3 linked regions of the Macaca mulatta genome follow. The main gene of each other region encodes a partner of the protein of the gene in region 2 in a complex. Links are inferred from orthologs where the notes say so. Each region holds a gene or a part of one and is shown on either strand. Other genes may lie near its edges. The genes, in order: RCVRN, GRK1 and RHO.

Region 1 (9,991 bases), on a different chromosome or scaffold from region 2:
ACCTGGGAGGGACCCTAGAAGGTCACCGGAGGAGAATGTTCCAAGCAGAAGAGATGCTCATGTATCTGAGGCCCGCCTGGCTGGAGTGGAGGGAGTGAGGAGGGAAGAGCAGATGAGGAATGTGGAGGGCTGCCATATTCTTCGAATGACCGTCTCGGTGTTCCCCCTAGGCTCTTGGGATTGGTGATGATTTTACCTCTGATGACTTAGCAGAGAGACAAAGGGCACCCGCCCCTTTTCGTCCCTTCTTGGGGGTACCAAAGGGCACCTGCAAGACATGGTGGGATGAGGGCCAGTGCTGCCTGTTGCAGGCTTTTGGCTTTGACGGGGAGAAGTGGGCAGCCATCGTGCATGACCTGATTTCATGGCTGTGGGGCTCACTGCAGGGCTGTAAGGGGACAAGAGCAGAAGCAGGAAGAGCTATTAGGAGGCAGAGGTGACGCTGCCTGCATGAGGCAGGTGCAAGGGAGGCAAGAAGAATGGTCTGGTTCTGGCTGTACCTTGAAGGTGGCAGAGTCAAGATAATTTCTTGATAGATTGGAGAGGGTTGTGACTGAAAGAGAAACACTGAGAATGACTCCAGGAACCTCAATCCAAGTCATCAAAAGGATGGATTGTCATTTTCTGCAATGGGGACAGCTGTGGGAGGAGGGTCCTTCCCCATTCTCTGTCTCCCCCGCCACCACCTCCATACCCCCTTTTCCCTCTCGATGCAGACTTCTCTGCAGGTGCTGGCTCCAGGCCAGAGGGCAGGAGGGTCGTCTTGGCCTTCAGCTCATAAAAGGCAAGGTCGAGCAATGGGGAAAGGGTGGGGTCTGGGTCCCAGCTAACAGCCGAGATAGAGCTCCTGCTTGAGGGGACAGGGCCGGCTTCTGGGAAGCATCTTTCAGTGCAGCGAAGAGAGCGAGATGCAACCTGGGATCCTCTGCCTGGAGATGAAGCCTTCTCTAGAGAAGACTTTGGGGTTTGGGAGAGCTTATGGCCCCAGATCAGACTTAACAAATCGTCTCACAATACATCATGTCCAACAGCTTGTTTGGCTAAGGAGCATAAGCTCTCCCTCTGATAGAAGATGTTTATGCAGGTTTTCAAACAAACCTCCAGGTCATGACCCCTTGCTCTGAGCATCAACACAGCTGCTTGCGATCCCCTGAGGCCCCTCCTGGGCACAGCAACCTGGAGAATGTGGACTGTACCAGGCTGCTTCCGACCTGGGTCCAGCTCCTTCCTCCTTGTGCCTGGAGAGGACAGCAAAGACTGGAGGGCTCTGGCTGCCTTCTGCCTCGCCCAGGGCCTCTTTCATTGCCATGGCAACCCCACATCCTCACCTACTTGTCCTCTAGGCTCAGGCCTCCTGTAATGTAGACAAAGGAAGCCTAAACGAAGAGCCTGGCAGATCTGGACTTTCCTTCCTCCTGACATTGCCATTTAGCAACCATGTGACCCCAGGCTGGCGACGTGCCTTTGGGAGGCCCCACGTCTCACCTGTAACACTGGCCTCGCCTCATCTGCTGCAGGCTTGATGTGGACAGGGGTGTGATCCAGGAGGCACTTCTAGTCGCCTCCTACTAGTGGCTCAGAGCAAGGGGCCAAGGCTTCTGACCTCACTCTCCCTCCATGCCCAGGGTTGCCTCAGGGCTGCAAGAAAGCACTGGATGAGAATGCGATTCCAAGGTGTGGCTTGGGCTTGCTTGGTTCGTTCATTTGTTTGAAGGCTGGTGACTCCTGTTTCTAACTGCTCTTGAGAATAAATGCATACTACAGGATGGTGAAAGCCTAGATACTCCTATTCAGAAGTAATATTATCACTGGGCGCAGTGGCTCACGCCTGTAATCCCAGCACTTTGGGAGGCCGAGGCAGGCAGATCATGAGGTCAGGAGATCGAGACCAGCCTGACCGACATGGTGAAATCCCATCTCTGCTAAAAATACAAAAATGAGCCAGGCATGGTGGTGAGTGCCTGTAATCCCAGCTACTCAGGAGACTGAGGCAGGAGAATTGCTTGAACCTGCGAGGTGGAGGTTGCAGTGAGCCGAAATTGTGCCGCTGCACTCCAGCCTGGGCAACAGAACGAGGCTCTGTCTCAAAAAACAAAACAAAACAAAACAAAAAGCAAAAAACCAAAAACCTCACAGAGTGATGGAAAAAAATGTGAAAGTTCACACACACACCCCAGCATGCAGGTTTCCTGAGATGTCTCGGAAACTGTCGTGTGCACAGTGGCTGGAAGAGATGAGTCTGCCCTCGGTGCCCGAACCTCTCGCTCCTTCCAGAGTGATATCAGGTGGGCCTGGCAGGTGGCTTTCTCCCAGCAGCAGGGACCTACCTTCCGCTGCCACTAGCCTGTTAGTAAGTAGGCTAAAATCCCTACTTTACACTTTGAGATGCAAGGCAGGCGGATCACCTGAGGTCAGGAGTTTGCGAGACCAGCCTGACCAATATGGTGAAACCTCAATCCTACTAAAAATACAAAAAAAAAAAAAAATTAGCTGGGCCTAGTGACAGACACCTGTAGTCCCAGATTCTCAGGCGACTGAGACAGGAGAATTGCTTGAAACCAAGAGGCGGAGGTTGCAGTAAGCCAAGATTGCGCAACTGTACTCCAGCCTGGGCAACAGAGAGAGACTGTCTAAAAAAAACAAAAACCACTTTACCTGCCTAGAGACTGTGGGGTTTATTCTTCATACTTCGTACCCCAGGGCAAAAAAAGAACTCTCTATCCACGGTGGCAAGGCTGGGGTTCTGAGTGTGTCCCCTCGAGCACTGCGCGCCGCTAAGGAAAGTGCATGCCCACCCTCCCTTCCCTCTGGGTGACAAGAATCCAGGTGTGCAGCGTCCTCACTAGGGTGCTTCCTCATGCTTGATACTCCCCGCTGCGCTGCAGGGACGCGAAGCCCGCCTTGGCACAGCTCCCTGTCTCTGATCACTCAGTTATTTACCCATTCACTCAGCAAACACGTTTTCTTGCCTGCTTACTCCAAGTCCGCTGCAGATGGACACCCTGCAGCCTGCCATGGAGCCGCAGATAGATTTTGTTTGGCCCACATCATGTTTTATGATTTTGTTTTTGTTTTTGTTGTTGTGTTGTTCTTTTGTTTTTTTGAGACGGAGTCTTGCACTGTCGCCCAGGCTGGAGTGCAAGAGTGCGATCTCGGCTCACTGCAACCTCTGCCTCCCAGGTTCAAGCAATTTTCCTGCCTCAGCCTCCCAAGTAGCTGGGATCACAGGCACCCGCCACCACGCCCCACTAATTTTTTGTATTTTTAGTAGAGACAGGGTTTCACCATGTTGGCCAGGCTGGTCTCAAACTCCTGACCTACTGATCCACCCCGCTCGGTCTCCCAAAGTGCTGGGAATACAGGCGTGAGCCATCGCGCCCAGCCATGTTTTTTAAATTGCAAATTAATTGCCACAGTTGAAAAGTGTGGAAATTGCATCGAAAATTCTGATTTCTGGATTTCTCTTGACTAATTAAAAAAAAAAACTCACGTTCCCATGTGACCACGTTTGCTGGCAGCCCCTTCCCTAGGTGACACAGGCCTGGCTGCCCCCTGTTGGTCCCTGCAGGCAGTTCACCTTCACTCCCTGTGACTGATGGGCAATAACAAAATGAGTGTTTAGCATTAGCCAGCCGTGTGCCAGGTTCTAAGTGTGTCACCCATATTGACTCACATCAGCCTCACAATGACAGTGTGGTAGATGCTATGATGCCCATTTATTCAAGAAAGGCTTAATGGGGGCCCAAGCCTATCAGGTTCTGGAAATGGAAATGCATCTGGGAACAACACAGACAAAATCCTGTCCTTCCTAGAGCTTTCATTCCAGTGAGGGGACATGGGGCGTGCTGAAGACGGTGGGGGGTGTGCTATTATAGATAGAGGGTCAGTATAGGCCTGGCTGAGCAGGTGACATTTAAGCGGAGACGTGACTGCAGTGAAGGGTTAGAAGAGTGTCCCAGGTGGAAAGAGGTGAAGAAACACGCCTGGGGCCACACAGCTAGTTAAGTAGCCAAGCTGGGACTTGAACCCATGCTGGCCCCAGAGCCTGTGCTCCTAACCACTGCATTCTAGGGCTTGATGTGAGATGCCAGCCCTGCCCTGAGATGCTCAGAGTTAGTGAGGAAGAGAAATAGGGAACGTGGCTGCCGTTAGAGGGCTGGGGCTGGGGGTGCAGGAGGCCCCAGCTCTGAAGGTTCCAACTTCCTGTCCTGTTCTAGTCTCCTCCCAGGAGGCCGAGATGAATTGCCTGCCTGCCCTGGGCTCTTTATTTTAATCTCCGTAGGGTTCTGGGAGCATCCCCCCACCACCTCTACAAAGCTCCTGGGCCCCTCCTCCCTTCAAGGATTGCGAAGAACCGGTCGCAAATCCTCCTAAGCCACCAGTCTCTCCATCTTCAGCTCACACCAGCCCTGAGCGCCAGCCTGCGGCCAGGGGACCACGCACGTCCCACCCACCCAGCGACTCCGCAGCCGCTGCCCACTCTTCCTCACCCATGGGGAACAGCAAAAGTGGGGCCCTGTCCAAGGAGATCCTGGAGGAGCTGCAGCTGAACACCAAGTTCTCAGAGGAGGAGCTGTCCTCCTGGTACCAGTCCTTCCTGAAGGACTGCCCCAGCGGCCGCATCACCCAGCAGCAGTTCCAGAGCATCTACGCCAAGTTCTTCCCCGACACCGACCCCAAGGCCTACGCCCAGCATGTGTTCCGCAGTTTCGATTCCAACCTCGACGGCACCCTGGACTTCAAGGAGTACGTCATCGCCCTGCACATGACCACCGCGGGCAAGACCAACCAGAAGCTGGAGTGGGCCTTCTCCCTCTACGACGTGGACGGTAACGGGACCATCAGCAAGAATGAAGTGCTGGAGATCGTCATGGTCAGTCTCCCCTCTCCCCTTCTGGCTGGGCGGCGCCGGGGTCACTTGGGGCTGGGGGCCCCTTGCTGCAGAGTGAGTGGAGCTGTGGGTGGAGCGGGGGATTCAGGCCACTGGCTCTGAGAGCCTGGTGCTCCAAGAGGCTGATATTGATAGACAGGTGGGCACTTACCCACAGCTTCGTTGTCTTCCTGAAGCAGAATCTGAATGTTTCTTAATACATCCATGTTATGCTTTGCTTCACGATGTTTGGGTCATGTATGGACCATATATACCACTGTGGTCCCATAAGCTTGTAATGGAGCTGAAAAATTCCTATTGCCTAGTGATGTCATAGCACAGTTACTTTATTTTTTAAATGCATTTAGTGTAGTCTAAGTGTATCTATAAAGTCTGCAGTAGTGTACGGTAATGTCCTAGTTCTTCACATTCACTCGTTACTCGCTCACTGACTCACCCAGAGCAACTCCCAATCCTGCAAGCTCCACTCATGGTAAGTGCCCTAGACAGCTCTACCATTTTGTATCTTTGTGTTTTGTTGTTGTTGTTGTTGTTGTTTGAGATAGTCTCACTCCGTGACCCAGAGCTGGAGTGCAATGGCGCAATCTTGGCTCACTGCAACCTCTGCCTCCCGGGTTCAAGCAATTCTCCTGCCTCAGCCTCCCAAGTAGCTGGGATTACAGGCGCACACCACCACGCCCGGCTAATTTTTGTATTTTTAGTAGAGATGGGGTTTCACCATGTTGGTCAGGCTGGTCTCGAACTCCTGACCTCAGGCAATCCACCCACCTCAGCCTCCCAAAGTGCTGGGATTTACAGGCATGAGCCACAGTGCCTGGCCCATTTTTTATCTTTATACTGTATTTTTACCACATGTTTAGGTATGTTTAGATGTGCAGATACTTACCATCATATGACAACTGCCTGCGGCACTCAGGACAGTCACATGCTGCACAGGTTTGTAGCATAGGAGCAAAAGGCTGGACCATGGAGCCCAGGGATGTAGTAGGCTGTACCATCTGGGTTTGTGCGAGGACTGTCTATGACGTTCCCACATGGAAATTGCCTAAAGATGTGTTTCTTGGAATGTATTCCTGTCTCTGAGCGACACATGACTATATTTACATTTTTTTCTTTCTCTCCATCCTTTGTTTCTTCCTTCCTTTATTAAAATACCCTTTGAAATTTTCGGCAGTACACATTCAACTTGAATCGCTATTCATTCTAAACACACTATGCTTCAAATATAAAGTAGAAAGAGGTCAAAGTTGGGGACATGAACTCTGAGTTCTAGTTCTCATGTTCTCCCCAGCTTGGGGCAGATCGCCTGTACCACCCTTGAGCCTGCACTTGCCATGCACGGCGTGGCTCCCCAGCTCCTGACAGGTTCCCTGTGAGGCATACACGCTTCCACATGGTTCCCAACACACCTTCTCCCCCGTCCATACTGTCCTCGTGTCAGATCCTTTGTTGTGAAAGTAATGGCAAAAACCACAATTACTTTTCCACCAACCTCTAGGTGTCTTGAAAATGTTTCATCTAATGTATAAGTAACTCATGAAATTTAGAAGCCTAGGCAAACGAGATTAAAAATTGCCTCATCCAAGGAAAACTTTTCTTAGTATATCGGTATATACCTTTTCAGTGTTTTACGTATATAATTTTTAAACAATGTTAAAGCTATGACATACTCACATACGATTTTTATCATACATTTTTCAGTTACTCTTTTATCATGAGTGCTTTCCATATCATTACATATTCTTCCAAAACAGTTTTTTGTTGTTGTTCAGACAGTTTCACTCTTGTCGCCCAGGCTGGAGGGCAGTGGCGTGATCTCAGCTCACTGCCACTTCTACCTCCCAGGTTTGAGCAGTTCTCCTGCCTCACCCTCGCAAGTAGCTGGGATTACAGGCACCCGCCACCACGCCCGGCTAATTTTCGTATTTTAGTAGAGACAGGGTTTCGCCATGCTGGCCAGGCTGGTCTCAAACTCCTGACCTCAGGTGATCTGCCCACCTCGGCCTCCCAAAGTGCTGGGATTACAGGAGTGAACTTCTGCACCCAATCTCTTCCAGAACACTTTTAATAGCTGCTTGGAATTCTGGCTTATGGAAATGTGGAAATTATTGAACATTCCTATGTTTTTGGACATTAGGTTGTTTCCATTTCTCTCCTATTATACCAGTTCTAATTTCCTTCATTTGATTTTTTTTTTTTTTTACTTATTCTTTTTCAATCCCCCTGCCCCCTGCCACTTGCTTTATTATTCTAATTCCATTCCTGTTAGTAGAGACTGTTGTTCAGATGTTATGCATTTGTAATCATGCCTTCATTTGCATGATTACAAATGCACAAAAATTTTCCACCCTTATTAGCAGAAACCATAAATAAAACAGCAAAGCGTGCAGCTTGTGGTCCATGGGCTTATCCTCAGTGCTCAGCTCAGGCCTCCCGTTCCGGCAGGCGTGTGTCTCCCTCATTGTTATCTTGGCACAGCCTGCAGAGAAAGCTCCCTCGAATTGGCTGTGGGGTCTCTTGCCTGGGACAGGGACTAAGTCTTCAGAGCCACATAAACAATGTGGGGCCCAGCAGAAGCCTACAAATGGATACTCCTGGAAGAAAAGTAGGAGGAAAGGGAGGAGGGGGAAATGAGGGAGGGAGAGAGAGAAGGTGGAAGTCAGGAAGGAAGGAGGGGGAAGCAAGGGGCAGGAAAGGAGGAGAGAAAGGAAGAAAGAAGAAAGGAAAGGGAGGAAGGGAGAGGCCATCAATGGCTGGGGCTGTACAAGGTGGCAGAAGGCTCTACGGTTCACCAGATTACAAGTTCATGGGCAGAGCACTGACTGGGGGAGTCACAAGTGAAGCGTTCTAGTCCCAGCTCTGACTCCAACTAGCGGTGTTGCTGTGGGAAAACCATTTTACCTTCCTGGGCCCAGGGTGAGGATTTGATTATTTTTGCAGCCTCTCCCGAGGCCCTGAAGGTCTGTCCCTCTGTGTTGGAAGTGGGGTGGGCAGGCAGTCACTCCCAGCTTCTGGCTGGCACACCTGTACATGGTACCCAAGGCCCTGCACAGATGGATAGGAGTGTAGGAACCACCTACACTTGCGTCCAGCTCAGAGCTCTGAGTGCTGCCAGTGAGGCCGCTGCCCTGGGCTGCTGGCTTTGGTCTCCTTGCTCCTTTTTCCAGCACTAGGAGGCTGAAGGGGAACTTCTCAAAGCTATCGACCTTCCCTCCAGGATAATTTCACAGCCATTATTGCCCCTGCCTGCCCTGCTCACAAGTGTCTCCAGGGAGGCAGAAGGCTCTGGCCAGAGCCAGTAACCTCCCAACTGCCACCCAACATACCTGCCTGCCCTCAGCATCCAAGGACCTACAACCTTGGGTGTCCCTTCAGGACCCAGCTGGCGCTGGTGTTCCTGAGCCAGTGGAATCCTAGAAACTTGAAGCTGGAAGGGTGCATGGAGCCCCCTTGTCCCTTTCCCTGATCTCACAGGTCTGGGGGCACTTCATGCTTTCCCTACATTGCATAACCAACTGCTTTATTAGAGGGGAGGGAGGTGAGAAGGATGGGATCCTTGAGCCCAAAGCTAAGCCTTTCGCTGAATCCATCCTTGAGCAGAAGGTTAAATGAGGGTCTTGCTGTACCATGGGAAGACCTCTGAAAAGTTCTTGCTGATGCCTCTCCCTCCCCCCCAGCCTTGCCCAACGCTCTCCAAGACCTTCCAGTGATAAGGAGGTGAGTGGCCTATAGCGTAACACAAGGATACCAATTCTAGAATCAAAATGCCTGGATTCAAATCTCCACTCTTCTCCTTCTAGCTGGGTGACTTCCAGCAAGTTAGTTGTCTCAGTTTTTTCATCCATAAAATGGGGCCAATCATACCTTCTTCATACGGTTATTGTGAAGACTAGGTGTAAAAAATGTTTAGAAAAGTGACACCTAGGCCAGGCAGTAATCCCAGCACTTTGTGGGGCCAAGGTGAAAGGATTGCTTGAGCTCAGGAGTTTGAGACCAGTCTGGGCAACATAGTGAGACCCTGTCTCTACAAAAAATTCAAAGGAACTTGCTGAGCATGGTGGTGCGCACCATAGTCCCAGCTACTCAGGAGGCCGAAGTGGGAGGATTGCTTGAGCCCAGCATGTCGAGGCTGCAGTGAGCCATGATTGCACCACTGCACTCTAGCCTGGGTGACAGAGCAAGACCCCGTCTGGAAAAAGAAAAAAAGAAAAAAAAAGAAGAAAAGAGAGTGACACCTATTAAGTACTCAACAAATGTTAGCCGTTATTGCCATAAGTCAGTCTTACTGAGCAACTGAGGTACAGTATAAATCCAGAGGAAGAGGTTTACTCTTCTAAAACCTGTAGGCAGTAGGGTCTGAGGTAGTGATTCCCAAACTCCAACCTCAGGACTGCCGTCATATTTGCATCAGGAAGCTTTTTCTTTCTTATTTTCATTTTTTTAAATAAGTGAAGTTAATATGTTTACATAGTTAGAAAATCACAGTACAGAAAGGTACAAAATAAGAAGCGAAAGGCTTCTTTGTCTCTTCCCTGAATTCCCTGTCCCTTATGAGGGCCTCAAAAATACAGATGCCCAGGTCCTACGCCCAGGAATTTTGATTCAGTAGATCAGGTGGGGGCCTGTACATCTGTATTATAACTGCTGTCTGCTCCCACGGGCTGGTCAGGCACTGAGAGAGGGACATTGTGATGGAGGTGACCCAAAGTCCCTGATGTGTCTTCCATAATATTTGTACCATTTTACATTCCCAGCAACAGTGGACCAGGGTTCCCTTGTCACCACACCCTTGCCAACGCCTGTTATTTCTTGTCTTTTTTTATTACAGCCATTCTAACAGGCGTGAGGTGATATCTCATTGTGGTATTGATTTATGTTTCCCTGGTGATCAGTGATGGGTTTCTTGATACTTGCTGGCCACTTGTACGTCTTCTTTGGAGAAATGTCTGTTTGGGTCCTTTGCCCATTTTCTTTCTTTCTTTCTTTTTTTTTTTTTTTTTTTAGATAGAGTTTTGCTCTTGTCACCCAGGCTGGAGTGCAATGGCGTGATCTTGGCTCACTGCAACCTCCGCCTCCCAGGTTCAAGCAATTCTCCTGCCT
Region 2 (10,102 bases):
GGACATAAAAAGCATGAATGTCAGAAAGGAAGAAATAAAACTGTCCTTATTTGCAGATAACATGAATGCTTATGTAGAAAATCGCAAAGAATCCATAACAAAACTCCTACAGCTCATAAGTGAGTTTAGCAAGGTCTCAGGATATGAGATGAGGGCGAAGAAATCCACTGTACGTCTATATAGTAGCAATAGGCATATGGATACCAAAATTAAAAACACAATACCATTTATGATTGCTCAACACCAAGAGGAATATTTAGGTGCTAATCTAACACGACATGTACAGGACTTGCATGCTGAAACCCATGTAATAGTGATGAAAGAAATAGAGTTTGAATAAATGGAGACACACACCATGTTTACAGTGTGGAAGACTCAACATAACAAAGAGATCAGTCTCCCCAGATTGATATATGGGTGCAACATAATTCCTATCAAAATCCAGGCACAATGTTTTTGGTAGATACATACAAGATTATTCTAAAATTTATATACAAAAGCAAAGGAACTAGAATAAGTAAATATTTTCTTGCATATTTTGAACATAGCATTTTTTTAAACATTTTTTGAAAAATTTTTTGAAAAACAAGAATAAGATGGGAAGACTCAGTCTACTGAATTTCAAAGCTTATTATGTAGCTATGGTACTCAGGATTGTAGGGTATGGTCAGAGGGAGACACATAGATCAATGGAACAGAAGAGAAAATCCAGAGGTAGACCCACACAATATGTGCAACTGATTTCTGACAAAGGTGCAAAAGGAATTCAATGAAGCAAAAATAGCCTTTTCAACAAACAGTGCTGGAGCTACTGGATATCCATTGGCCAAAGTGGGAGGAAAAAGACCCTCAACCTCTTAAACCTTCTACAAAAATTAACCCAAAGTAGATATGAACATAAATGTAAATTGTAAAACTATAAAACTTTTAGGAAAAATATGGGAGAAAATCTTCAAGATCTGGGGCTGGACAACACCAAAAGCACAATCCATAATATTTATATTCAACAAAATTGAAAACTTCTGCTCTGTGAAAGCCCATATAGAAAGGAGGCAAAGACAAGCTGTCAGTGGGAGAGGATATTCAAAAACCGTGTGTCTGACAAAGGACTAGTATCTGATATTGATAGAATCTCAAGACTCAGGAAAGCAAACAATCCAGTTGTTACATGGTCAAAAGATGTGAAGAGACATGTCACCCAAAAGCACACACAGGTGGCAATCCACACATGGAAAGGTGTTCGACCACCATTAGGGAAATGTAAGTTACAACCGTAAGGGAATACCCCACACCTACCAGGAGAGCCAAGATAAAAGACCGTGGCAGCGCTAAACTCTGGGGAGGATCCTGAGGAAGGAGCTGCTCCCCCATGGCTGGTGGGAATGTAAAATGGCATGGCCACTCCAGAAAACAGCTTGCCAGTTTCTTCGAAACTAAACGTGCAATTACTGTGTGCCCCAGCAACCAGCAACGACACTTTTGGGCATTGACCCCAGAGAAATAGAAACATATTCACACAAAGGCCTACACAGATGTTTGTAGCAGCTTTATAGCTAAACACAGGAGATGACCCAGGGGTCCTTCAACCGGTGAACGGCGAAACAGACCGTGACACCCTCTGTGGAGCACAACTCAGAGACGAGCAGGAGGGCATGGCTGACACCTGGAGAACGGTGCAGAGTGAGAAACGCAGATCCTGAAAAGCTACGTAGTGTCTGACTCCATTCATATAACGTTCTTGGAGAAGTCGTGGTTGCCGGGCGTTGAGGAGGGCGGGCTGGAGGAACGTGGGTGCATCTGCGAGTGGCACAGGAGGGTCCCGTGGATGGAGGCGGCCTTTGTCTCAACTGTATGGATGTCAATATATTCGCTACTTGGCAAGAGTCATCATTACAGGAGACGGAGTTAAGGATACACAGGATCTCTCTGGATTGTTTCTTAACACTGCATGTAAATCCACAACTATCACAGAATAAAGAGTTTAAAAAGGGATTTCCAGGGCCAAATGAATTTGGGGAACGACATACTTTACTTCTCTTTGAGAACCATGTTCACCCTGAAATCACTGAATAAGCTCTGTGATGGGCATGTTTAACATATTTTTAACTTTGTTTATTTAACATATTTAACTTTATTTCACCGAACGCTTCCCAACATGAGTGCAGGTGGAACAGCCCCCAGTCCAACAGGAAGCCGTCCTCCTCAGACCCCGCATCTCTGCAGCATCAGCACCACCTGTGAGCTTGTTACAGGTGCACAGTCTTGGACCGCCCAGCCACTAAAGCAGAATCTTTATTCCAGCAAGGTCTCCGGGCGATTCGTGTGTGTAGCTGTTTGAGGCATGGCCTAGGATAGGCCGGGAGACATCAGCAGAGACGGCTTCACTTCACAAAGCACCATAGTTGCCCCACTGAGTGAGCAGGCAGGAAGGAGTTAATGTGATTGGCCCAAGGTCACCGCTGTGAAGGGCAGGGCTGGGCCCGTGCAGGGCTCCTGGCGGACGATGGGATATCACTCACCTCAAATATTTACTCGTGATCCACCTGCCAAAGCCCTCGGGAGGCCGTGGGGACATCAGCTCAGTCCGCAGGCCCTCTCTTCAGCCTCCTTGGTCGCTACAGAGGACCCTGCCAGGTGCAGCCCCAGCACCCTCCCACAGGTGCCTCTTCTCCCACGTGGAACGGGGTGGGCTGACATTCTCAACCTCTCCACACTCTGGCATTCTTCCTTTCTGTGACCGTTTGCTTCCTCCCTGTGTGAGCTGGAACCAATCCCCTGCTAACTTCCTCCTCGTTCTTCTCTAAACATTTATTGAGTACCTACTGTGTGCTGGAATAAGGCAGGGCCATGCCCTCATGAAGCTGACACTCCTATTTGCGTAACCATCCCCAGGTGTGTCCCAGGTGTGTCTGAAGTGTGCCCAAGCTGTCTCAGGTGTGCCCCAGCTGCATCCCAGGTGTGCCCCAGTTGCATCCCAGGTGTGCCCCAGTTGCATTCCATGTGTGCCCCAGGTGTGCACTAGCTGTCCCAGTTGTGTCTCAGGTGTGCCACAGTTGTATACCAGGTGTGCCCCAGCTGTCTCAGGTGTGCCCCAGCTGCATCCCAGGTGTGCCCCAGCTGCATCCCAGGTGTGCCCCAGGTGTGCACCAGCTGTCCCAGGTGTGTCTCAGGTATGCCACAGTTGTATCCCAGGTGTGCCTCAACTGTCTCAGGTGTGCCTCAGCTGTCTTAGGTGTGTCTTAGGTGCATCCCAGGTGCATCCCAGGTGTGCCCCAACTATCTCCAGTGTGTCTCAGCTGTGCCCCAGGTGTGTCCTAGGTGTGCCTCAGCTGTCTCAGGTGTGCCCCAGGCATATCCCAGGTGTGCCCCAGCTGTCCCAGGTGTGTCCTACGTGTGCACCAGCTGTATCCCAGGTGGATCTCAGGTGTGCCCCAGGTGTGTCTCAGATGGGTCCCAAGTGTTCCTCAGCTGCATTTCAGGTGTCTCAGGTGTGCCCCAGGTACAGCCCAGGTGTATCCTAGGTATGCCCCAGCTGTCTCAGGTGTGCCCCAGGCATATCCCAGGTGTGCCTCAGCAGTCCCAGGTGTATCCTACATGTGCACCAGCTGTATCTCAGGTGTGCCCCAGATGTGTCCCGGGTGTGTCTCAGGTGGATTCTGGGTGTGTCCCAGGTGTGTCCCAGCTGTCCCAGGTGTGTCTCAGATGTGCCCCAGGTGTGCCACAGCTGTGTTCCAGGTGTGTCTCAAGTGGATTCCGGGTGTGCACCAGGTGTTCCCAGGTGTGTCTCAGCTGTTCCAGGTATGTCCCAGATGTGCCCCAGGTGTGCCACGGCTGTGTCCCACATGTGTCTCAGGTGGATTCTGGGTGTTCCTTAGGTGTGTCTCAGGTGTGCCCCAGGTGTGCCCCAGGTGTGTCCCAGATGTGCCCCAGCTGTACCCCAGCTGTCCCAGGTGTGTCCTAGGTATGTCCCAGGTGTGCCCCAGGTGTGCCACAGCTGTGCCCCAGGTGTGTCTCAGGTGTGCCCCAGCTGTATTCCACATACGGCCCTCTGAGTGGAGCCTTGGTTTGGTGTAGCTCCGAGGATCTTCTGCTCCCTGGTCCTGGTGTCACCAGCAACTGTCTCTTGACAGTCCTGCCTTGCTTGCAAACCCCAGGTGAGAAGAAGAAAAATAATTGGGAACTGACCCCTCAGTAAGCACTGGTGGTCTCACCTACAGACCCCCAGGAAGCTGGTCATTGTGGGCTTTTTTCCTCTAAATTCCTATTATCAGGTGGTTTTCTTCTCACTTGCTATTTTCTTAAAAATAAAAATGAAATATAGTAGGGAAAAACAGCCTTTGTAAATTATGGTTTCTCCTGGCACCACCCTCTCCTGTCGGGCCCACATCCCAAGGAAAGAGCAGGCTTGAGCCTGGCTGCTGAGGCCAGGGGGTGGACGAGGCGGTTCAGAACAGAGCTCTGAGTGCCTCTCCAGCCGGGGGCCCCAGAAGCCTGGGAGTTATTTGTCCGTCTCGGGAAAAGCGAGGCGGCCCCTTGGAGGAAAGGGCCGGGCAGAATGAGCTAATCGGATTCCAAGCAGCTCAGGGGATTGTCTTTTTCTAGCACCTTCTCGCCACTCCTAAGCGTCCTCCGTGACCCCAGCTGAGATTTAGCCTGGTGCTGTGTCAGCCCTGGGCTCCCAGGGGCTTCCCAGTGGTCCCTAGGCACCCTCAACACGGCCAGGGCATCTCCCTCGTCCAGCGAGGGCAGGGACGGGCCACAGGCCAAGGGCAGCGGTCGGGCCTGCTCTGCTGTGAGCACCGCCGGCTTGGCCTCGGCCGATGGGCCCTCACTCCTGAAGCGGGCAGGAAGCCAGCTCCGGGATGGATTTCGGGTCCTTGGAGACCGTGGTGGCCAACTCTGCCTTCATCGCCGCCCGAGGCAGCTTTGACGGCAGCAGCTCCCAACCCTCCCGGGACAAGAAGTACCTGGCCAAGCTCAAGCTGCCCCCGCTGTCCAAGTGTGAGTACCTCCGTGACAGCCTCAGCCTGGAATTTGAGAGCGTGTGCTTGGAGCAGCCCATCGGCAAGAAGCTCTTTCAGCAGTTCCTGCAATCAGCAGAGCAGCACGTGCCAGCCCTGGAGCTCTGGAAAGACATCGAGGACTATGACACAGCAGACAACGACCTCCAGCCACAGAAGGCCCAGACCATCCTGGCCCAGTACCTGGACCCCCAGGCCAAACTCTTCTGCAGCTTCCTGGATGAGGGGATGGTGGTGAAGTTTAAGGAGGGGCCCGTGGAGAGCCAGGACGGGCTCTTCCAGCCCCTGCTGCAGGCCACCCTGGCACACCTGGGCCAAGCCCCCTTCCAGGAGTACCTGGGCAGCCTGTACTTCCTGAGGTTCCTGCAGTGGAAGTGGCTGGAAGCCCAGCCCATGGGGGAGGACTGGTTCCTGGACTTCAGGGTGCTGGGGAAAGGGGGTTTTGGGGAGGTGTCGGCCTGCCAGATGAAGGCGACCGGCAAGCTGTATGCCTGCAAGAAGCTGAACAAGAAGCGACTGAAGAAGAGGAAGGGCTACCAGGTGAGCAGCGCGGCCCAGCCAACAGGGATGGGGCAGCAGGGTGCAGAGGGCCCCCAAGTCGCTGTCGGGCTCCGTGGCCCTTAACAGCTGGTGCCTCGCCAGCCTTGCCATGTGGGCGCCCTGCGGCCGTGCAGTCACGGGCAGTTCCAGTCCATGTGCAGAAGTCCCTCCTCGGAGAGGGACCTCCACATTTTTGGGTGGGGACATCCCTCCTCGGAGAGGGACCTCCACATTTTTGGGTGGGGACATCCCTCCTCGGAGAGGGACCTCCACATTTTTGGGTGGGGACGTGCCACCTTTGCTCGTCAGCTTTTCACCAACCACAGACTAGCCTCAAGTGTGGGGGAAAGAGGACCTCTCAGGGGAGGCTGAAGAGGGCAGGGTCTCCGGATTCTTTGCCATGGCCGTGGAAGACTTTCCAGGGACCTGGCTCCTCTGATGGCAGTGAATGCAGGAGGAAGTGAGGCAGGACGGAGGCAGCCTCACTCCGATGACACTTTCTGTGAGGAGAAGCCTGGCGTGACACCGGATGCAGGAACTATTCCCCTGACTGCGCTGTTCTTGGGGGTGGGAGTGAGCGACGGGCACGCAGGCCACGCTGTTTCATCCGCTCTGCCCACTGGCGTCAGACTGTGCATCTGGGGCAGGATCAGCAGAAGCTGCTTACAGGTCTTAAGGGTGAGAGGCAGCGGCTGCACCGGGTGTGGACGTGATCTCCCGAGCCAGCCCCCTGCACTTCGGCTCCACGCAGCTCCTGGCCCCTCTCCCACCGCGCAGCTGTGTTGAGGGCACAGGAAACTCTTAGGGTTAAGCAGCAGCCGCTGTGCACCCTGGCTCTGCAGGGCCTCAACCCTTAGTGAAGGTGAAATACCAGGTGGTCATGGCGCTGGGCAGAGGCCCTGGAATATCCGTGTGTTCTTGCCGTGGAACTCGGGGTGGGTAACTATGCCACGTGGTTGTAGCAGTAATTTTTTTTTTTTTTTTTGAGACGGAGTCTCGCTCTGTCACCCAGGCTGGAGTACAGTGGCCGGATCTCAGCTCACTGCAAGCTCCGCCTCCCGGGTTTACGCCATTCTCCTGCCTCAGCCTCCCGAGTAGCTGGGACTACAGGCGCCCGCCACCTCGCCCGGCTAGTTTTTTGTATTTTTAGTAGAGACGGGGTTTCACCGTGTTAGCCCGGATGGTCTTGAACTCCTGACCTCGTGATCCGCCCGTCTCGGCCTCCGAAAGTGCTGGGATTACAGGCTTGAGCCACCGCGCCCGGCCTGTAGCAGTAATTTTTTAAAATTAGCTTTCTTGACATCTAATTCCCACACCATGCCATTCACATCTAACTGTAAATTTAACCCAACAGTCAGCCTCTTCTCCTGACTTCCATCACCTAACTGAACTCCATACTGACATCAACTGAACACCTCCCCCAGTGTGAATGCACAGAAAGGGGCCTCCGACGTCAGGAATTCCCTCTTCAAAGAGGGGTGTGCTGTCCTTATCCAGACACTTACAAACTCATTCAGTGGAGCATTGTGAGGTTTTAAAATAAAGACAAAACGAAGCAGAGTGGTGAGGTGGTTTGGGAGGTGCTGGTCTGTGATCCCAGCCCACAGGGGCCTAGACAGCAGGGAGGGCTGTGGCTGCAGGATTGCTGGGCAGGCAGGGCTGGCGGGGTCCTCACCCATGTTGCTCAGCCGTGGGGCTTGAGCCTCCCCTTGCCAGAGGCTGGCCCGGAAGACCAGAAGTCCCCTGTGTGAAGGAATTCACACGTCTGGTTTTCTGAAATGGGGGTACAGACATGTTTTGAAGTCATTTGCAATTGCTCCGTGAAAGGCGCATTTAAAGCGTGTTTGCGACTAGTGGCTGTGTGTGCAGTGGGCGTGGCCGTGTGCACACGGTCTCTACAATGCACTGGTCCCTTTCCTATTCAAAGCCATCACATACTCATCGTCTCACTTTTCAGGGTGCTATGGTGGAGAAGAAGATTCTGATGAAAGTGCACAGCAGGTTCATTGTGTCTCTGGCCTATGCGTTTGAAACCAAAGCTGACCTCTGTCTGGTGATGACCATCATGAACGGAGGCGACATCAGGTAAGGGCTGGTCCAGAGGGCGCCAGGGGACCCTGCTGTCCCACTGGGTCAGGGTTTCCGGCGGCGGGGGGCCCGATGGGGCTGCTTCCTGTGTGTAGAGCCATGGTGGCCCGAGGCCTGCCCTCGAGGGAAAGCCTTGCACCCATCACCGTCCCCTTCTCGCTGTCGGTAGGCGCCGGTTCCTGAAACAATACACCCTGGACCCACATTGGTGCAGGAGCCTGGGAGGCGCCCAACCTGACAGCCAGGGCACCTCCTTGTGTGTGGCCCTGGTGTGGGTGTGGGGGGCACGTGGTGCTGTGGGGGACGCATGATGCAGTGCAGGGGCCTCTGCAGGGCTGAGGGCCTTGCACCAGGAGAGTAAATGAAGATGAACTTCACCAGCGCCCGCCCATTCCTGGGGCTGACGCTGGAGCTGGAGACAAGATCAGGCCAGCTGGGGCCATGGCCTTGCTGCTTTCTGGCAGAGAGGAGGTGGTGCTGCCTCCACAAAGTCCTGGCCCCGGATCCATCACCGAGGCAGGCGCCAGGCCCGTGTGGGAGATCAGATCACAGGCTCGCTTGGTACCTGGGCCGCTTAGCCATTGCTTGGTTCTGTTTCCTGGTCTATAAAATGGGAAGAGATAATATCTAAGTTGAAAGATTGTTTGGCCAGGCGCGGTGGCTCAAGCCTGTAATCCCAGCACTTTGGGAGGCCAAGACAGGTGGATCACAAGGTCAGGAGATCGAGACCATCCTAGCTAATGCGGTGAAACCCCGTCTCTACTAAAAAAATACAAAAAAACTAGCTGGGCGAGGTGGCGGGCGCCTGTAGTCCCAGCTACTCGGGAGGCTGAGGCAGGAGAATGGCGTGAACCCGGGAGGTGGAGCTTACAGTGAGCCGAGATCCCGCCACTGAATTCCAGCCTGGGCAACAGAGCAAGACTCCGTCTCAAAAAAAAAAGAAAGATTGTTGGAAGATTAACAGTGTCTGATACCCCTAAGGTTGGGGATGGGCAGGGGCCATGGCTGTGGTTGGCAGCACCATGCCCCATTCTCACCTGCTTTTAATTTCCAAGGAAACTCCTTCAGGTGAGGCTGGTGGCCCATTTTTCAGATGAGGAATGTGAGTCCAGACTAAGTCACCATGCCAGGTGCCCAGGCGGAGGGGAGGGGGCGCCGGGAAGCACACACACGGGGGTGCCCAGGCAGAGGGGAGGGGGCGCTGGGAAGCTTAGTCACAGGGGTGCCCAGGGAGGGCCTGGTGGCTCCGGCCGCCTCATGATCCACCTGGCTCCAGGGCCTCCTCTCCTGTTTCCTGCGACTATACTCCTGGTGCCACCTAGTTTAAATAGTTTATTTTATTTGTTAGGTTTTGCTTCTTGCAAAACCTGTCCACGGAAAACATAAGAAATGATGTTTTATGGGGGAGGAAAGAGGCTGAGAAGAAACACCTTGCTGCAAATCCTTCACGAGTCTGATGAACTCGGGGCCTGCGGAGCTCCATCCCGCCTCGGCCTGGCCTCTTCCTGAGACGGTCTGGGCTGTTTTCCAGCACCTGCAGCCCACGCCAGGAAGCATGGGGACAGGAGACACACGTGGACGGCACTTTCTCCCCGTTAGCCGTTGGGGTTCGGGGTCCCTGAGCTGCTAACGCCGCCAGCCACCATGGCCTCGGGGTCTCCTCTGCAGGGACGCTGGGGGGCCAGGCCTCAAAACGACCAGAACGCTGGCTGGTTCTGAGGTCCCCACTCTGTCTTTCCATGATTTTACTCCCCATTAAACCCGGGGCACATGGCTCCTGCGTGTCTGCCCCCAGGTACCACATCTACAACGTGAATGAGGAGAATCCCGGCTTCCCGGAGCCGCGTGCCGTCTTCTACACGGCGCAGATCATCTGCGGCCTGGAGCACCTGCACCAGCGGCGGATCGTCTACCGCGACCTCAAGCCTGAGAACGTGCTGCTGGACAACGACGGTAGGCGGCGCCCGCGGCGGTGAGGGATGGGGGCTCCGAGGACGGCGGGGCGCAGCTTCCCTGGAGGTCTCTGCACAACCTCACGAGGGTTGACAGCTGCGTGGACAGCGGGGGTGTCATTGGGCACCAGGAGTCACGGGAGTGAGTGCAGGGGTCTGCGGTGCAGAACTAGCTGGGAATGGTGAGTCTGCTAGGCCCAGTCCCCACCTTCCTTCTGCCTGAATGAGGCATCACACAGGGATTCTTCTCAGAAATAAACACAAGGGTTTAGGCTCCCGACGCTGGCAGGTCAGGCAAGTGCGAGACACGCACCAGGGCCCAAGAGAGTGTGGGGGGCTGGGATGGGAGGATCCCGGTGGGCAACACCCACGCCTAGCTGCAACACGACCGGCCCTCTTCCCTACACCCTGCGCCCTTCACCGTCAGCCAGGGAGCCGCTGTCATGTGCATGGTGTGTGCTGTGTACGTGTATGTGGTTTGTGGGGTGTGTGTTGTGTGTG
Region 3 (10,001 bases), on a different chromosome or scaffold from region 2:
TGGCCAGGGCTGTTAAGACAGCATGGGGGAACCATGGTGAGACACACCAGAGAACGCTGCCATTCTCTGTCCTCAGATTCTGTCTCGTGATCTAATATGGGTGCAGAAGCTCCAGTCATCATGACTACCTTCCAGCCAGCAGGAAGAAAAGACAAGAGGAAAAGGAGGGCACTTCCATTCTCCAAAATGCACAACCCAGAGACTACACACATCATTTCTGAGTACCCTACAGTGACTGGACCTTAATGTCCTGCCACCACAGTGCAAAAGAAGCTGAAAGATACTGTGTTGTGTTGAGCAACCAGGTGCCCAGCTAGAACCTAGTATGATATTATTAACAGAAGGAAAGGGAATGAATATCGGGGCAGTTAGCACTTGCTTCCCCGCTTTTGCGAGACCCCCCTCTCTGTGTTAATCTCCTTACATGTCCATTTCCTACCACACAAGGGGCTGCCTCCTTTGAACTTAGTTCATGTCTCTGGGAAGGGAATTCACATTTATTGAATGTCTACTGTGCACAGCACCCTTTATACAAATACTCTCATTAGACCCTGTAGACAATTCTACCCAGTGGGATAATTCTCTCCTGTATAGCTGAGGGGCCTGAGTCTTGGAGCAATTCAGGGACTTGCCCAAACCAAGTACAGTGGCTCATGCCTGTAGTCACAGCACTTTGAGAGGCCAAGGCAGGAAGATCCTTTGAGGTCGGAAGTTCAAGGCCAGCCAGGGCAACATAGGGAGACTCCATCTCTACAAAAAATAAAAAATAAGTTGGGTGTGGTGTTGTGTGCCTGTGGTCCCAGTTACTTGAGAGGCTGAGACAGGAGGATTGCTTGAGACTGGGAGGTCAAGGCTACAGTGAGCTATGATGGCACCACTGTACTCTAGTCTGGGTGACAAAGCGAGACCCCATTTCAAAAAAGAAAAAAAAGAAAGAAAGAAAGAAAGAGAAAGAGAGAAAGAAAGAGAAAGAAAGAAGAAAGAGGAAGGAGGAAGGAAGAAGGAAGGAAGGAAAGAAGAAGGAAAGAAAAAGAAAGAAAGGAAGGAAGGAAGAAAGAGAAAGAAAGAAATAAAAGAAAGAAAGAAAGAAAAGAAAGAAAAGAAAAGAGGACTTGCCCTGAAGCTACATAGTTGAGAGGGGCACCCACTGTCTCCTTAGGGGGCATGCACTGTCTCCTTAGGGGGCACCTCAGGCTTTCAGGGGGGCATGTCTCCCTTGGCGTGAGAGAGCTCTGTGGCCATCTGAGTCCCCAGTGCATTCTGGCATGGGGTCAGCTTGCTCAGGTTTGATTGAATGGAGCTGCCATTGTACCTAAGAGGCTGTACCTCTTAGGTATCATTACAATGATAGAGATAGTCACATTGTACCTAAGAGGCTGTACCTCTTAGGTTGTACCTCCCGCTGGCTGCCTGGAGATGAAGTGTGGACAAACTTACTGCAGCTTAGGGCAGCAGCTCCTTCTCTTTATGTATGCAAGTGCCACTAAGCAACTGTCAAGTCATTTGTAAATTAAGGAGGTGGAGGCTTTCCTGTCTATCAGGACAAACGAGAGAATGTTCTGGTGTTAGAGTAAAATTTTCCTCTGGACATGAGGTTGGGGCAAATGTACCATTTCTCAGAAAAAGTGGACTGGGCTGGGGGTTGGGGTGGGGAGCTGGGATGGGCTCCCTGCAAGTCAGGACAGCTAAGATGCCACTGTCCCACCCACTGCCACCCTGGCCCAACACAGCATCCAAAACAAAGGGTGCCAAAACCTTTGGGACCACCCATAGGAATCTTCTCCCTCATGTCCTTGAGATGAGGAGACAGTGAGGCCTGGTCCAGCCATGTGCCCAGAAAATACCAACTTAGAGTCCATTCCCTCTGGGTTGATGCAGGCTCTGCTCACCCAGCCTCCTGCCCTCCTACTTCAGGTAACAGCACCTGGGCTTTCCTTTGTGAAACCTACCTCTCCCCATTCAGCCTGCTTGGGCTGCAGGGTGAGCATGTGACCTAGGTCTGGCCAATCAGAGGATGAATCCCCATTCCAGTCATGGTGATGCAGTTAGACCTGTGTATGCCTAGTGTTCCATTATTGGAACGCTAAGCATGTGTGAGTTATTTATATCTTACTGTTCAAGGTCATTGCCAAGGTCTGATTGCAAAAATCCAAAAAATTGCAACCTCAGGCATAAATGAGCCACATATGATCAGGTGACCTAGGCCTGGCCAATCACAGAATTAATCACCATCTCAGGCATGGTGATATGCTGTACCTGAAGCCCCGGGCTTTTTGGTCATGTGGAGCCAGCAATGTGTGCCTTTTGCTTCAGCCTAAATGAGCTGGATTTCCTGTCACTTGCAACCAAAAGTATCCTGACTGATATTACCTAGTGAGTCAGAGTAAAGAGGGCCAATGATAGAGATCCCAGCGCAATGTGCCCCAGCCCCACCAAGGCACCGAGGATCTGCTATCTCATGCTCCTGCCCTCCTTCCTCACCTTGGAGGAGGGGGTGACTCTCGGGAGCTACAGCTCCATCCTGTTCCCCTTTGGGACAGGGTCTATAGTGAGGCCAGCTCTGAACTGAGGCCCAGTATCGCCAAAGTCTCTCATCTGCTGCATGCTAGGCAGTAGGCTGGCCACTTAAAGTCCACAATCGCATCTAATCCCCTTAGGATCAGGTGTTTGTTTTTTGTTGTTGTTGTTTGTTTGTTTCGTTTTGTTTTGTTTTGTTTGGAGATGGACTCTCCCTCTGTTGCCCAGGCTGGAGTGCAGTGGCGTGATCTCGGTTCACTGCAACCTCTCCCTCCCGGGTTCAAGCGATTCTCCTGCCTCAGCCCCCTAAGTAGCTGGGATTACAGGCGCCTGCCACCATGCCCAGCAATTTTTGTATTTTTAGTAGAGATGGGGCTTCACCATATTGGTCAGGCTGGTCTCAAACCCCTGACCTCCTGATCTGCCCGCCTTGGCCTCCCAAGGTGCTGGGATTACAGGTGTGAGCCACTGTGCCCAGCCAAGGTCAGTTTTAAGATTCTCTTTTGCAGATAAGGAAGCTCAGAGAGGTGACAAAACTTGTTTGCAGTTTTATGGGTCACCTGTGACTCTATGACCCCAAAGTTGGGGTTTTTCTCATTCCCAGGGCTGCTTCCTCCACCTCTAGCCCCAGGGGACTCTGTGCTGCTTGGCTCTGCCCATTGCTCAATCCAGCCATCCCAGGGTCAGGGATCAGGTGGAAGCTGGCAGTTTCAATCTATCCTGTGGATAAAGAGTTTGAAAGCAACAAAACCCACCACCGTTAATACCAACATAGGAGCTGAGCTTTCAATGGCCCAATTTGCCTTAGTCTCCAGGCAGAGCTGGGTAAAGCTAGAGCTTCTGGCTTTGCCTATATGGAGAGGCGGGAGCAGTTACTGAGGCAGCTCAATTCTGACACCTCAGAGATGTGGCCAGCTTTCTGGAGCAGACTCTCCAGAATGGAGAATCGACTAGCAGCTGCTGAAGATGGGCTTGTCTGGCAAGGGAAACTGGAAACGGGGGCCCATGAACATCCCCAGGGAAGGTGGGCCCAGTGGAATTTCCCACTCTTTGTTTCTAAGCTCTTTGAGATAAGGATGACATCAGGGACTCAGCTGTTCATTAAATGTGGGCCGGTGAGCATATCTTCCAGAGGCTCCATGCTGTAGATGCTGGGGCCCAGGTGCTAGGGCAAAAGAGCAGGTAACTTCCAGAGGCTGAGAGAAAGGCGTGTCTCTCCATAAGCCACACTGGGAAGGGGAGGCACGGGGTCTGGGGCCTCACAGTAGGGGTGATACCCCAGGCCCAATCTCACCCTCACTGAGAACTTGGCCTTCATCGCCCCACTCCCCCAATGTTGTTTTTTCAGGTGTGATGACTGCATTCTGCATTCCTGTGACTGTCCTTGTCTGCAGCCCAGCCCCAGCCCTGGTCTGGCCTTGACGCCTAGCTAATTTTTAAAAACCTGCCCCGAGGCTGGGTGAAACCCCATCATCCGAATGCCCAGTCTCAGAATGTTCACAATCAGGAGGTGATAATCATAATAATTAACTAGTTACATTAATTGATGTTATTCACAACATGAACTAGAATCTGTACAGCTCTTGCTATTTACAAGGTGCTGAAACACACACATAGACACACACACACACACACACACACACACACACCTCTTTTGGTCCTCTCAGTAGCTGCGTGTCGGCAGGACCAGGAATCTGGGATTTCCATTTTATAGGGGAAGAAAGTGAGGCCCAGGGAGGGAAAAACAACTGCTCCTTATCATTAGCCAAGTATGAGTTGCTGCTGCTAAGAGGGTCTGAGAGGATAGATATGTTCTCCCTTCGCTTTCATTCCTCCATTCCTTCCTGCATCCATCCAGCATTTATTAAGCACCTACTGTGTGCCCCATTCTGTGCTAGACACTTATCCCTAAGCTGGGACACTTTTCCAGAAAGCAAGAATCCTCATGTTCCTGAAAGATGAGCTGGGAGGAGGAGGGGCACAGATCCCACTGGCCTTGGGGAACCTGGGACTCCAGATCAGTAGGTGTTGGTGGATGTCCCTTCTCAGGCTGTCCCGGGTGAGTGAGGAGCCTCATTTTTCTCTCATTAATTATTTCTTTAAAAAAAAATGAAGGAGCCTATGTGACTTCGTTCATTCTGCACAGGCGCTGCTCCTGGTGGGATGGCTGTGGCTGGGGGAGGGTGTGGGGGACGGGAGACGCCTACAGTCGGCCACAGCGTCCTAGGCAGGTCTTAGGCTGGGGCCACCTGGCTAGTCTCCGTCTTGGACACGGTGGCAGAGGCCTCATCGTCACCCAGCGGGTTCTTGCCGCAGCAGATGGTGGTGAGCATGCAGTTCCGGAACTGGAAGGCAAGAGGCTTGAGTCAGGGCCAGGGCTGCCCACAGTGTGCTTGGAACTGGCACGTTAGTGAGGTTTGCCCCAACCTTTTCCCTGCTTCTGCCCCTCACAGTTCCAGCGCCCCGTCCACTCAAATCTGGCTTCCTGGAGGAAACTTGCTAAGCAGACGCTCCTCACCCCTAGAGATGCCAGGGACCCAGCACGAGGGGGCTGTGTCGCCCATGACATTTCATGGTGCCCTCTGTGTGCCAAGGGTGTTCTGTAAATTATCTCCTGTAATCTGAGAGTTGGGTGTTTTGCCCTTTCTATGGATGAGGAAACCAAAGCACAGAGAGGGGAATTGACTTGCATGGGGTCACATAGTTAGAAAATGGCAGAGCTGACTTCAGAGACTGTTTACCCCAACTTCTGAGTTCCTTGGAGAGGAACCTTTACCCCTTTACCCCTTTACCCCTCAGAATAAGACTTTTTAGCTCCTTATTCAGCTTTATGGAGACTGGCCCATCCATTCCCCTCTTGGGACCTTCTGACTTTGACATTGGGCTTCCAGAACTATCTGGACTAGAGCTTCTCCCACCTCAGTGAGCATCTGAGCCACCTGTGGAGAGCTTGTTGGAAATGTAGGTTCCTAGGCCCTCCCTGAGATTCAGCAGATCTGGGTGGGGCCAGGAATCTGCATTTCTCACACACTCCCCATTGAGACTGCTGACCCAAGACTGCTGCCAGTAGCCCTGATGGAGCCCCCTCCCCTGCCCTGGGACGCAGTTTGTCCTTGGCAGGCAGTGCCTGTGGTCTGGGACACTGGGGCCCTCCCACCCGCAGTAGGCACCTGCTTGTTCATCATGATATAGATGACAGGGTTGTAGATGGAGGCGCTCTTGGCAAAGAACGCTGGGATGGTCATGAAGATGGGACCGAAGTTGGAGCCCTGGTGGGTGAAGATGTAGAATGCCACGCTGGCATAGGGCACCCAGCAGATCAGGAAAGCGATGACCATGATGATGACCATGCGAGTGACCTCCTTCTCTGCCTTCTGTGTGGTGGCCGACTCCTGCTGCTGGGCAGCGGCCTGCAAGACAAGGGGCCCGGGTCCAGACCATGGCTCCTCCAGGGAGCAGGAGCCGCAGATACATGCTGGGGGCTGGACTGTCAGAGCCGTGAGGCTGGCCACTCCCCGGCCCATACCTCCTTGACGGTGAAGACGAGCTGCCCGTAGCAGAAGAAGATGACAATCATGGGGATGGTGAAGTGGACCACGAACATGTAGATAACAAAGGACTCGTTGTTGACCTCTGGCTTGAGCGTGTAGTAGTCAATTCCGCACGAGCACTGCAAGCCCTCGGGGATGTATCTGAGGACGGGCAGGTAGGGAGAACCCGCCTGTGAGGGACTTGGCCAAGGCGCCTGCCGAGCGCTGGCCCTTTCTGGGGCTTCACATTCCCTTCCTGGAAAAGGGGATCATAAGCGTCTGCATGGCTGGGTGACAGGATGGAATATGGATCAGATGGGGATGCAGACGCACCTTGTGGAATCAGTGTCGCTTCACTGGTGGCTGCGGTACCAGATGATACCACTCAGCCTCTCCCGGCATGCCCAGCCCCAGCATCCACTGCCCTCTGAGCCTAGGGTTATGCCAGGCAGAGGTTGGTGAGGAGGAGGGGAGGCTCTGTATTTGAGGCAGTTTGTATAAACTGAGGTTTTCCTAGCCCCAGGGCGAGAGTATTTTCCAGGTCAAAGATGGACACACAGGGTATCTAAGGGATCTTTGTGCAGCTTCTGGAAACAAGAGGTTTCCAGGGCACATTGTTAGGATGTGGCAGTGGTTCCTGATATTGGTGACAGTTGACTGGCCTCAGGAAACCCAGAGCGTCCAGAGGCTGTGCTTCCGGAGGATGGAACCAGATTGGAGAAGATGGGGAAAAAGTCCAGCGGGGGGACTCAAATTCAGCAAGGGGTAAGAAATGGACCCTAGCAAGACTGAGGAGGAAAAGGAAGTGAGAGTGGGAATTTTCTGGAGACAGAGGGACATGAGGCCTCAGGGGACCAGAGTCACCGGTCCTATTGTCCAAACCACTGTCCCCACTGTGTCTCATCTCAGCCCCATTTGGAGACAATCGCCTAGAGGCTGAATGGGACCCAGTTCCCAAGGGCCACAATATGGCCACCAGCACTAGGAAGGTGTGGCCTCCCCTGCTGCTGAGGCCCAAGGTTAGAGGGGGCTGCCCCCAGGGTACTAGACCAAAGAGGATTGGAATTTGCGCCTGGCTTAGTTGAGGATTAGGGGCACAGCCAAGGTGAAGGGTTGGGATGTCTTGGATTCTCTTTTACATAGAGCTCAGGAGATGGGACCAGCGCTTTTAGCAACATTAGAGTCTATTTCTTCTGCCCTACACCCCTACCCTGGGTGGGCATTTGGGCCAGGAGACATACAAGGCCAGTGCCTGGAACCAGACACTACTGGGTTTGAGTCCTGACTGGAGGACCCTACAAAGAGCCTCTTCCCTTCTGCTCAACGCCATTACCTGGACCAGCCGAAGAGGGGGGGTGCGGCGCAGGCCAGCGCCATGACCCAGGTGAAGGCAACGCCCATGATGGCATGGTTCTCCCCGAAGCGGAAGTTGCTCATGGGCTTACACACCACCACGTACCGTTCGATGGCCAGGACCACCAAGGACCACAGGGCGATTTCACCTGCAAGGCAGTCAGCAGGCTGTCAGCAGACCCCACTGCCTGTCTAAGGAGGGTGCACTCCCCCTAGATAGGAAGAGGGTAGCTAGGAAGGCAACCAGGAGTGGGAGAGGGACTTGAGGAGGCCTTGGGGAAGAAGAGAGCTTGGCACTGGGAGGAGTGGGAAGGGGCAGAGGGACCACATGCTGAGGAGGGCTGGGCAAAGAAGCTCCAGGGAATGGGGGAAGTTATTTGCTTAGTGCTCTGGGTCCATGAGGGACACGAATCAGATCAGGGGGTCACGATTGGACTGAGAACCCGGTAGGGAGTTGTGGGGTTTTTTGTTTTTAACAGAAGAATGCATCCTAATGTGGGGCAGAGTTCTTTGTTGGGCAGGAATGCAGAGGTGGCGGAAACCCAGAATTGGCAGTCCTTCATCCCTCTCTCTTCTCGGGAGATGAAACAACATGGGCAAGTGTGGCCCTCTCCTAGGAGCCATGAAGCAATGGGCAATGCTTTGCCCAGAGGAAGAAGAAGGAAATGATGAAATTGAGACATCTGCCCTGCTCACCACCCCATGAAGTTCCACAGGGAGAGTGGCCATATAGTTAATCAGCCAAACTGGGACATTCCTAACAGTGAAAGGGACAATAATTGTAAACTGGGACTGACCCTGCAGAGAACAACCATCCGTATGTGGCACACCACCTTCTGGCCAGAACTGGGTGATCTGTGATTATTTGATGTAACAAATACCCAACAATGCCAGAGATTCCCTGAGAATGGGACCGAGGAGGCAACCTGGACATGGGGGAGAGAGGGCAAGGCTGGCAGGGTGATGCTTGTGACTGGTGGTAAGCTCTCCTCGTCACCCAGCTTTGCAGTGGCTGCCGCTAACATCTCCTCCATCTCAGCGGAGATATTCCTGGATCACAGCCAGGAGACCTAGGCTGTTGTTGCTGCCTGGCCACATCCCTAAATAAGTCTATTCCCTTCTCCCTGCCTCAGTTTTCCCCTCTGTTAAGTGGGATCTGTTATCCCTGCAGCACCCCCATCTGTTTTCCTGTTAAATGCAAGACATTATTCTAAAGCAAAAAGCAGCTGCTTCAGAGGGGCTGCATGCAGTTCTCAACACCAGGAGCCTTGGAGCGCGGCATGGAGGCTAGAGGGGCACCCGGGGACGGGGGGCTGGGAGGGGAGGCAGAGGATGCCAAAGGGGACCGAGCCCATTACCCAGCACAGGGAAGACTCAATGACTGGAGAATGGAGAATCCACTTCCTACCCTGGGCTTGGGCCCCCAGAGAGGAGGGGTCTGGCTTGCCCAGCTCTCTCCTCAGTGCCCAGCCTGGGTCTGACCTGTTTTCCGAGGGAAACAGAGGCTTGGTGTTGCCAACACGGCCCAAGATGGATGCAGGCTTCAAACTCAACTCTGCCCCCATCCCATTGTGACCCCCAGCAGGGCACTTGACTTCTTTGAGCCTCAGCTCAGTTTTCTGGCTGTGAAATTAGATAAGTGCATGTTGCTCCAGGTAAGATCAAGGTAGCGTTCAGAGCCAGCCCTGCACAAACAGCAGCCCAGCTATCACCATGAATGGTGTTTGTTGATGAATATATGAGGGCCTTGGGTAACGCTGACAGGAGAGGAGAAGGGAGAAGGCCTCTCAGCCACTACCGCCAAGCCCGGGACTGTCCCAGATCCCTCCATGCTCCCGGGCTCCTGCAAGCCCCACCCGCACCCGGCTCATACCTCCCAGGGTGGCAAAGAAGCCCTCCGCATTGCATCCTGTGGGCCCGAAGACGAAGTATCCATGCAGAGAGGTGTAGAGGGTGGTGGTGAAGCCACCGAAGACCATGAAGAGGTCGGCCACGGCTAGGTTGAGCAGGATGTAGTTGAGAGGTGTGCGCAGCTTCTTGTGCTGGACAGTGACGTAGAGCGTGAGGAAGTTGATGGGGAAGCCCAGCACGATCAGCAGGAACATGTAGGCGGCCAGCATGGAGAACTGCCATGGCTCGGCCAGGTAGTACTGCGGGTACTCGAAGGGGCTGCGCACCACGCCCGTCGCGTTGGAGAAGGGCACGTAGAAGTTAGGGCCTTCCGTGCCATTCATGGCTGTGGCCCTTGTGGCTGCCCCGCGTCTGCTCCCACCCAAGAATGCTGCGAAGGCCTGAGCTCAGCCACTCAGGGCTCTGGCTGGATGACTCTGGGCTCTCACCCCCCCAGACCCTTATAAAGTGACCTCCCCCTCCTAAGCTCCTGGCTGAATCAGCATCTGGGAGATTGGGGGTGTTCATAATCATATTAATCCCGCTGCAGAAACTGAGGGCCTAATTGGCTTCCAAGAGGGGCCAAGGTGACACCAGGAGGAAGCCTGAGGTCAGGGAGGAGAGGTACTCAGGACCCTGGGAAAGGGAGAAGGCCCCTAACTTCTACATGGCTTGTCTGTCCCAAGGTCCCAGCTCAGTCTGGTGGCCTTG

What was found.
Region 1: the proteins of GRK1 (region 2) and RCVRN are in contact, whole or in part, in an NMR structure (PDB 2I94), measured with the Bos taurus proteins. The link is inferred for Macaca mulatta from reciprocal best matches to the Homo sapiens genes GRK1 and RCVRN. Residues at the interface, in NP_776598.1 of Bos taurus: Phe3, Gly4, Leu6, Glu7, Val9, Val10, Ala11, Asn12, Ser13, Ala14, Phe15, Ile16; in NP_776590.1 of Bos taurus: Lys22, Trp31, Ser34, Phe35, Glu38, Cys39, Phe49, Ile52, Tyr53, Lys55, Phe56, Phe57, Tyr86, Leu90, Thr93, Ser94, Phe188, Glu189.
Region 3: the proteins of GRK1 (region 2) and RHO are in contact, whole or in part, in a cryo-EM structure (PDB 7MT8), measured with the Bos taurus proteins. The link is inferred for Macaca mulatta from reciprocal best matches to the Homo sapiens genes GRK1 and RHO. Residues at the interface, in NP_776598.1 of Bos taurus: Leu6, Glu7, Thr8, Val9, Val10, Ser13, Ala14, Ile16, Ala17, Ala18, Arg19, Gly20, Asp23, Ala24, Glu184, Asp185, Trp186, Phe187, Leu188, Asp189, Phe190, Val192, Arg195, Glu200, Gln205, Met206, Lys207, Lys221, Arg222, Thr256; in NP_001014890.1 of Bos taurus: Lys66, Lys67, Arg69, Thr70, Arg135, Val137, Val138, Val139, Lys141, Ser144, Asn145, Phe146, Arg147, Phe148, Glu150, His152, Leu226, Thr229, Val230, Ala233, Gln236, Gln237, Glu239, Thr243, Ala246, Val250, Met257, Ile305, Tyr306, Met309.

Annotation. Positions count from the first base shown.
Region 1 is NC_133421.1:11,411,751-11,421,741, reverse strand, and holds the start of RCVRN (recoverin), read left to right. Parts: upstream 1-4,381; 5' UTR 4,382-4,492; coding exon 4,493-4,873; intron 4,874-9,991. UniProt on the Homo sapiens protein: Acts as a calcium sensor and regulates phototransduction of cone and rod photoreceptor cells. Modulates light sensitivity of cone photoreceptor in dark and dim conditions.
Region 2 is NC_133422.1:107,885,686-107,895,787, forward strand, and holds the start of GRK1 (rhodopsin kinase GRK1), read left to right. Parts: upstream 1-4,862; coding exon 4,863-5,561; intron 5,562-7,518; coding exon 7,519-7,646; intron 7,647-9,444; coding exon 9,445-9,602; intron 9,603-10,102. UniProt on the Homo sapiens protein: Retina-specific kinase involved in the signal turnoff via phosphorylation of rhodopsin (RHO), the G protein- coupled receptor that initiates the phototransduction cascade.
Region 3 is NC_133407.1:154,393,653-154,403,653, forward strand, and holds RHO (rhodopsin), read right to left. Parts: upstream 9,730-10,001; 5' UTR 9,635-9,729; coding exon 9,274-9,634; intron 7,550-9,273; coding exon 7,381-7,549; intron 6,210-7,380; coding exon 6,044-6,209; intron 5,928-6,043; coding exon 5,688-5,927; intron 4,863-5,687; coding exon 4,752-4,862; 3' UTR 3,101-4,751; downstream 1-3,100. UniProt on the Homo sapiens protein: Photoreceptor required for image-forming vision at low light intensity. Required for photoreceptor cell viability after birth.